Linked DNA regions of Oryctolagus cuniculus. The protein of the gene in region 2 binds, or shares a complex with, the protein of the main gene of each other region. Links are inferred from orthologs where the notes say so. Each region holds a gene or a part of one and is shown on either strand. Other genes may lie near its edges.

Region 1 (3,306 bases), on a different chromosome or scaffold from region 2:
CCTCAGCCTTTGGGGGGTGAACACTGAAAACGCGGCCCGAGGGATGTCCCCAGCAGCGCCACTTGAGGCCCGCCCTTCCCCTCCGCGCTGCAACCCCTCCATCCTTGACTCCATCCCTTCCTCACTCGAGCTGGGCCCTGCATTTCGGCTTCTGCATTTTGCTAGGGCTGCTGTCTGCCTCGAATATCTTCACTTTACTCCAAATTCTGTCATTCCTTTCCCGGCCACCTCACGTGAAAGCTCTGTCCGTCTTTTCAATTCCGATGGGTCACCCAGTCCTGGAGTACCCAGTACATCAGAAACCCTATTTTCACCAAATACTCTGCAGACCTATTCACGTGCTACCTGGATGAGCCCATCCGTGCTACAGTTTTCACTGTGCCGTAATGTACTGAAGTGAGGGGTGTACCTAGAGCCTGGAGCAGTTAGCAGAAGCATTTAAAACAGAACTCAAAACAATGCAAAAGAGGCTGGTGCTCAGGCTTCGTCTAAGCAAATGACACCCGTCGATCAGTGGGCGCCATCGGCAAAGCCTTGCTCTAAACGTTATGACACATTCAGGGGTTTTTCCCAGCTCAAGACAACAGCAGCCTGTAATAAAATCCTTTTAGTAAAAAATGTTTTCTTGATCACAGCAAAATATACACATTTATAAAGATACACTGTCGGGAGGAACAGGCTATTTCCCACAGGCCACAGCTCGCAGTTTACTGAGCCCCCGGAGGAGGAATGTCATCACTCGAGGGAGGGAAATCCACTCACAGGAAGGCTTCATCTGCACAATGAGTTTCCTGGTCGAGTCTTCTCGGGCAGTGCTGGCTGACCCTGGCCTTTGACGACAGACAATGCATCCGGGTGCTGTTTTCATACCTATGCTCTCAGAAACAGCTGAGCCCTCCGGGGGGTCACCATGGCCTCCTAGGTCTGCAAGAATTCAGGCTGCACGCGGGCCACTTTCCGGAACTCCTTAGTGTGGGTCTTAGGGCACTGCATCTCACACCAGCTGATGGGAACCATCTGGACACCTGGAAGGGAAAAGCTGGGTTTGCAGCTGGGACCTCAGATGTTTGCTTGAAGCCCTTTTCTTTCAGATGGGTACGAAGCTGAAGTATTACCAGGCTACCAGCAAACCTCCCCTCATACGGGAAAACCGTGTTTATCTCATGATTTATGAAGTGAGTCCCACCTCCTTAGGGCTAGCAGAATCTCATCTCTGCAGTAAGCACAGCCACGCATCACCTGATGGGGGCATGCGATTTCATAGTTGTGTGAACATCACAGGATGTACGGCTGCAACATCACTAGGTGATAATCTCATGCGACCACCAGCCCAGATGCAGTCTGTCACTGACCAAAATGCTGTTATGCAGTGCATCATGGTACCTACACTTATATTGCTTCCCAAACAATGACAAACTAGGGAAAGTCAGAAAATTAATGCATTGATCCCAAACCATACCAGCCAAGGAAGAATCAGAATGTAGAAGTGTAGACCAACTCACCTGACTCACTATGGGCCACCACCACTCCCAGCTCATTTTCAGCTGTGGTCAGCAGGTAGTTGGACTGGGCGTCACCTAGAGAGATCTAGTCACACAACAGCGGTGAAGGAAAATGAGAGGTTACAAGTCTTCCCCCCTTAGCCACTTGGGTTGTTTCTCTAGTTCCATGTCTTCTTCACGAAGAACCAGAAGTCTGCTGGGAATAAAGGATACCACTTTGGCCAAGACAATGTCCCCTGGACGGAAACTCTTGTATATTTCAACCTGTGAAGAAAGCATAGTGGTGTTAAGTGAAGCTCTGGATCAGAGCCACACAGAATCCTTAGCCCCTCTGGGAGAGCTTGTCGCCTATCTAACCCCAGCGGGGAGAAGGCATCATAGCCTGTCAGTCAACATCATACAAATCAGATTTTGAATTCAGTAATCCAATCAGGAATCAGACTACTGAATTTACTATAAAAAGGTACTATAGGGGCTGGCTTTGAGGTGCAGTGAGTTAAGCCACCACCTGCAACACATATCTGTATCCCATTTGAGCGCCAATTAGAGTCCCTGCTGCTCCACTTCTAGTTCAGGTCCCGCTAATGTGCCTGGGAGAACAGCAGAGGATGGCTCAAGTATGTGGGCCCCTGCCACCCACATGGGAGACCTGGAGTTTCTGGCTTCTGGCTTCAGCTTGGGGAGTGAACCAGGGATGGAAGACAGCTCTCTATGTAGCTGTCTTTCAAGTAAATATTTATCTTACAAAAAAAAAAAAAAAAAAAAAAAAAAAGGGCGGGGCAAGCACTGTGGCGCAGCACGTTAACGCCCTGGCCTGAAGCGCTGGCATCCCATGTGGGCGCTGGTTCAAGACCCAGCTGCTCCATTTCCGATCCAGCTCTCTGCTGTGGGCTGGGAAAGCAGTAGAGGATGGCCCAACTACTTGGGCCCCTGTACCCGCGTGGGAGACCTGGAAGAGGCTCCTGGCTCTGGATCAGCGCAGCTCCAGCCACTGCAGCCATCTCAGGAGTGAACCAGTGGATGGAAGATCTTTCTCTGTCTCTAACTCTCTCTGTAACTCTTTCAAATAAATAAAATAAATCTTTAGAAAAAGAAAAGATATAAGAGGTACTGCAGTTGGTTCTGAAAGATCCAGGACTACATCTGAGGGGACAGCAATGAATAAATACTTGGCTTTAAGGGCAAACCTAGCCCCACTCAGGTCAGATGAATTAACATAAATGTGAGTAATTGTAAAGGATTTCAATTGCTTCATTCATGGAAGAGAAAAACGAACCAACCAACAACCTTGTCTTTTTCAGTGGCTCGAACATCTTCCTTCCTACAAAAAAAAAAAGTTCACCAAAGGTTAATTATCTTCGAGAAAAACTGTCCTGAAGGTTCCTAGCAGGTGAAGGACTCTCAGAGCAGACGGAACAAGTCTTGACGGGAGCCAGCTGCCACCCAGAACGAGGGGGGGAGGCATCTTCGCCCACGGGAGAAAGCACTTGCCCATTGTCAGGCCATGCAGAGCAGCAGGAGCAACACCTCTGAGTACAGAAAGAGATCAGAGGCGGCAGGAAAAGATAAGGAACTTTGCTGCTTCAAGAGAACTGGAATGAAATGCCACAGAACCACACCAGACCCTGCAAAATCGAATTATCTGAGGTGGGTGTTTGGTGCAGTGGTAAAGCCGCCACTTGGGATTGTCCATGTCCTATCCTGCACTGCCCGGGTTAAGAGTCCCCACTCCGCTCTCCATTCCAGCTTCCTGCTAATGTGCACCCTGGGAGGCGCAGGTGATGGCTCAAGTAGTTGGGTCCTT
Region 2 (3,641 bases):
CCTTCCAGTTTTGTTGTTTTCATCTCTCAGGAAAAGCACCTGTCCACATCTGCCTGCGTTAATATAACTTGGTACTTCTTTCCCTCCTTTTTGCAGCAGTTGCGATTCTTGCAGCATCAAATGGCTATGGCAGCAGCAGCAGCAGCACAAACAGCTCAGCTACATCATCATCAGCATACAGGCAGCCAGTCAAAAAGTAAAATGAAGAGAGGCACGCCTACCACTCCAAAATTCTGAGTCTTATTTTTTTTTCTTTTTTCTAAACACAAAAGAGCATTGAATCAAAAGGATTGAGTTTCTACTTCATTTTTGGTTTTTTAATGTTGTCAGTATTTTACATTGCTAGATGTAAAAACTTTATACAAAAGCACAACTCTATAATTTTTAAATAAAAACAGGGAAATGGTTTGACATTAGGGTTGGTCTGCCTAAGTCATTGTTTTTCAAAAATTGTTTCATTGTACATAACATATATAGAAGTAACCTAAGAAATACAAGAAACATCTTTCAGAAGATTGTAGTTTGATATTTATTTAGTATAAAAAATTGTGCACAGTATAACAAATACATTTTTTACAAATCTGTTTTGAAAACATGGCTATTTATTTGGGTTTCATACTCTTAATTACTTCATCCATCAGTTTTTTTACTTCTTTATGTCTTGTAACTGCTCGGCTCATACAGTCTTGAAGTTTAGCACCAGTCAGTCCACTTCCACCTGAAAAATGATTGTATCAGCACTTTTAAGATTAGCATTGAAAAAAAAAAAAAGCTGTAACAAGTTAAAAAAAACAAAACAAAAAAAGTTGTATAAAAATTGTAAACCAGTGGCACTGCCTGAAGATTTCTAGGGTATTTTGTTGTTGTTTACTTGAGAGGTATAGAGATTCCATTCACTAGTGCACATGTACATGCACACCCACCACCCACCCCCACTCAGACAAGCCAGGAGCTGAATCCTGAATCCAGACCACCCACACGGGTGGCAGTCACCTAACAACTGAGTCTTCATTGTTTCTCCTCCAGGGTCTGCATTAGCAAAAAGCTGGAATCAGCAACTGGAGCTAGATGAACCCAGTGTCTTAACTGCTAGGCAAAATGCCAACCCCCCCACGTTAAGTTTTAATAAGACTTCCAAGGCTTCTGATGTACGCCATGTTAAGAACCACTAATAATATGAAAATGTAAAGAACTTAAAATAGCAAAGCTAGAGTAAATTCACTATAGGTAAATAATAAGACATCCTACATTCCATTTGACCCTCTCATTTATGTAAAGCTCATACTGAGTTTTCACCAACAGAGGTTTAAGACTGGAGTGGTAGAAACATGCCTGGTTTGTGAAGACAACAGAGTTTGCCTTCCTCATCCATTACGACCGTTAAGGTTCCTGTTGCCAGATGTTCTTCCTCCCCGGTAGGGTCAACTATAAGCAAAGTGCTATTTAAAAAAAAAAAAAAAAAAGTTACCAATTTATAGAAAAAATTTCTTTAAGAATAATAATAAGTATACCACCTGAATTTAACTTAGGGGTAGAATGGACTGATGAGAAACCAGAAGAGTGAAAAGCAACTTCAAATTTAGTACTTGTAAGAAACTCTGCTCTTCAATTTGTGAATACATTAAACTTTCTAGCAAATATTGAAAATAGATTCAGGTAAAGTCTTCAGTGAAAGAACTTAAAATTAACATTTCATATATATAAACCAAGGAACAGCAAGGTGAGCATAGAGTTAATAATCAGGATGTTTAGAAAAGTGGAAGAACTGACTAGAAATAACTCTGCAGGGACAACAGGTATAAATTCAAAGATCCAGGGTGAACTAGGGCATATGGTCAACCACAGGCATGTCCTCAAGAATCAGAAAGCTGAGTAACAATCCATCTTCTTAACTTCAAATACAGAAAGTTTTCAGTAAATATGATTAACTTACTCATCAAACACAGCAAAGGAAGTTGCAACTGGGTGAGTTCTGATATTCAAGTAACTTTTTTTCTTTAAATTAACTTCTGCTAAAGCAGTTTCTTCATTAATAGTAACTTCAGGTAACTGTACTAGAGAAAGGCAAATACAAAGTCACTCTGAGTAGTGTTAAGCAACAAATGATTTCTTCAGTTTATTAACTTTTTTGTCTTCAGTTTAACTTATCCAAAACATTCTTTTTAAAAAGGCATCTTAGAACAATTAAGGTAAATAAAGCAGATATAAACATTGTTTTTCACAATATTTAACATTCTTGCCTAGTGCTTATTTAACTTTTTAAAGTTAAAGAAATCAAAATGAGTTTTAGTAGATAAAACTTTTAGTCATTTTCTATATGCCAGGTACTGTTTTATGCATTTCATGTATTTAATCACTGACACTCTTAGAAAAGTACTATTATCTTCATTTTGTTACAAACAAGGAAACTAAAGCATAGACTGGTAGAGTCAGGATTCAAACTTGAGTCCTTTAACCGCTACTCTGTAATACCACCATGCTAACTACTACTTATACCTTGTATTATCATTTCATCAAAGCAATGATAAATACAAGCCACTGAAATCCTAACTAATGAGTCTACTGATCCTTACTAAGGTAATTTATATGGCCTTAGAGTAAAAACAATAGAATGCATTCTACACCTTGTTGGCAACAAAAGAACTTAGAGAATACTTAGATCTTCACCAAACCTCCTAGAGAGTAGTCACAACTCCCTCCACATTAATGCTATTTGGGGAACGACTGCAGTCCTACCTCAAATAGATGGGGACAGTTGTGGCAAGACTCTAAAAGGCATTCAGTTAAGAGAATATAGAACTTCCCAGTGTATTTGGGAAGTCACAGCAGTAATATATTCATTAATTTTTTAAAGATTTTATTTGGGGAGTAGAACCAAAAACAGAGAGATGTATAGATCTTTTATCCCAATTCACTCCCCATATGGCTGCCACAGCCAGGTCTGAGCCAGGCTGAAGCCAGGAACTCCATCCTAGCTTCCCATAGGTGGCAAGGGTCCAAATACTTGGGCCATCATTTGCTATTTTCCCAGGAACACTGGCAGGGAGCTGGTTCAGAAGCAGAGCAGTGAGAACTCCAATATGGTATGCCAGTGTCTTAAGCAGTGGCTTAACCTACCCTGTCACAATGCCAGCTCCATATTCATTAATTTAAAAACATGAATGATGGCTTATCTTAAGAAAAAACTTTAAAAAGTTTATTGAGCCAGTGGACACTGAAGTTTCACAAAACAGAACATTCTGACCCTTTAGGAAAATAGCCTTTTATAAAAGGCTGCTTACCATTTTTTAAAGCTGCTAACAAAGCAAATGTGCAGGCATCCAAAATGTTTCCATCATAATCAAGGCAAATGAGATCACAGTATAGAACCCAAGCAAGCTAAAACAGAATTTACACAAAAAGAAATTAAAGCCTTCTGAGTAAAACATGCTGTTGGTTTAGACTTAACAACCTCAGAATCCTTGGATAAATATGGAAGATAACTTTTAAAGCTCAAAAACTTTAACAACATGTTTTACCGCTATAAAGTAAAAAGTCAATGGCCAAGTTTGGTTTTCTAACCACTGAACTGTCAAGTGATAGACATCTGTATCTTCCTCAAGGGAGCTAAAGATGTATGAAGGAATTTGTTTTGTTGCTCG

What was found. Proteins that work in one complex are often made in the same cells at the same time.
Region 1: EXOSC8 (region 2) and EXOSC1 share a complex: the UniProt entries of both Homo sapiens proteins name them as parts of the RNA exosome core complex. The link is inferred for Oryctolagus cuniculus from reciprocal best matches to the Homo sapiens genes EXOSC8 and EXOSC1.

The regions. Positions count from the first base shown.
Region 1 is NC_091446.1:32,404,367-32,407,672, reverse strand, and holds the end of EXOSC1 (exosome complex component CSL4), read right to left. Parts: intron 2,824-3,306; coding exon 2,790-2,823; intron 1,767-2,789; coding exon 1,716-1,766; intron 1,588-1,715; coding exon 1,503-1,587; intron 1,026-1,502; coding exon 919-1,025; 3' UTR 590-918; downstream 1-589. UniProt on the Homo sapiens protein: Non-catalytic component of the RNA exosome complex which has 3'->5' exoribonuclease activity and participates in a multitude of cellular RNA processing and degradation events.
Region 2 is NC_091440.1:77,075,098-77,078,738, forward strand, and holds the end of EXOSC8 (exosome complex component RRP43), read right to left. Parts: intron 3,379-3,641; coding exon 3,282-3,378; intron 2,055-3,281; coding exon 1,934-2,054; intron 1,440-1,933; coding exon 1,333-1,439; intron 719-1,332; coding exon 603-718; 3' UTR 506-602; downstream 1-505. Other genes in the region: SUPT20H (transcription factor SPT20 homolog), read left to right, coding at 97-237. UniProt on the Homo sapiens protein: Non-catalytic component of the RNA exosome complex which has 3'->5' exoribonuclease activity and participates in a multitude of cellular RNA processing and degradation events.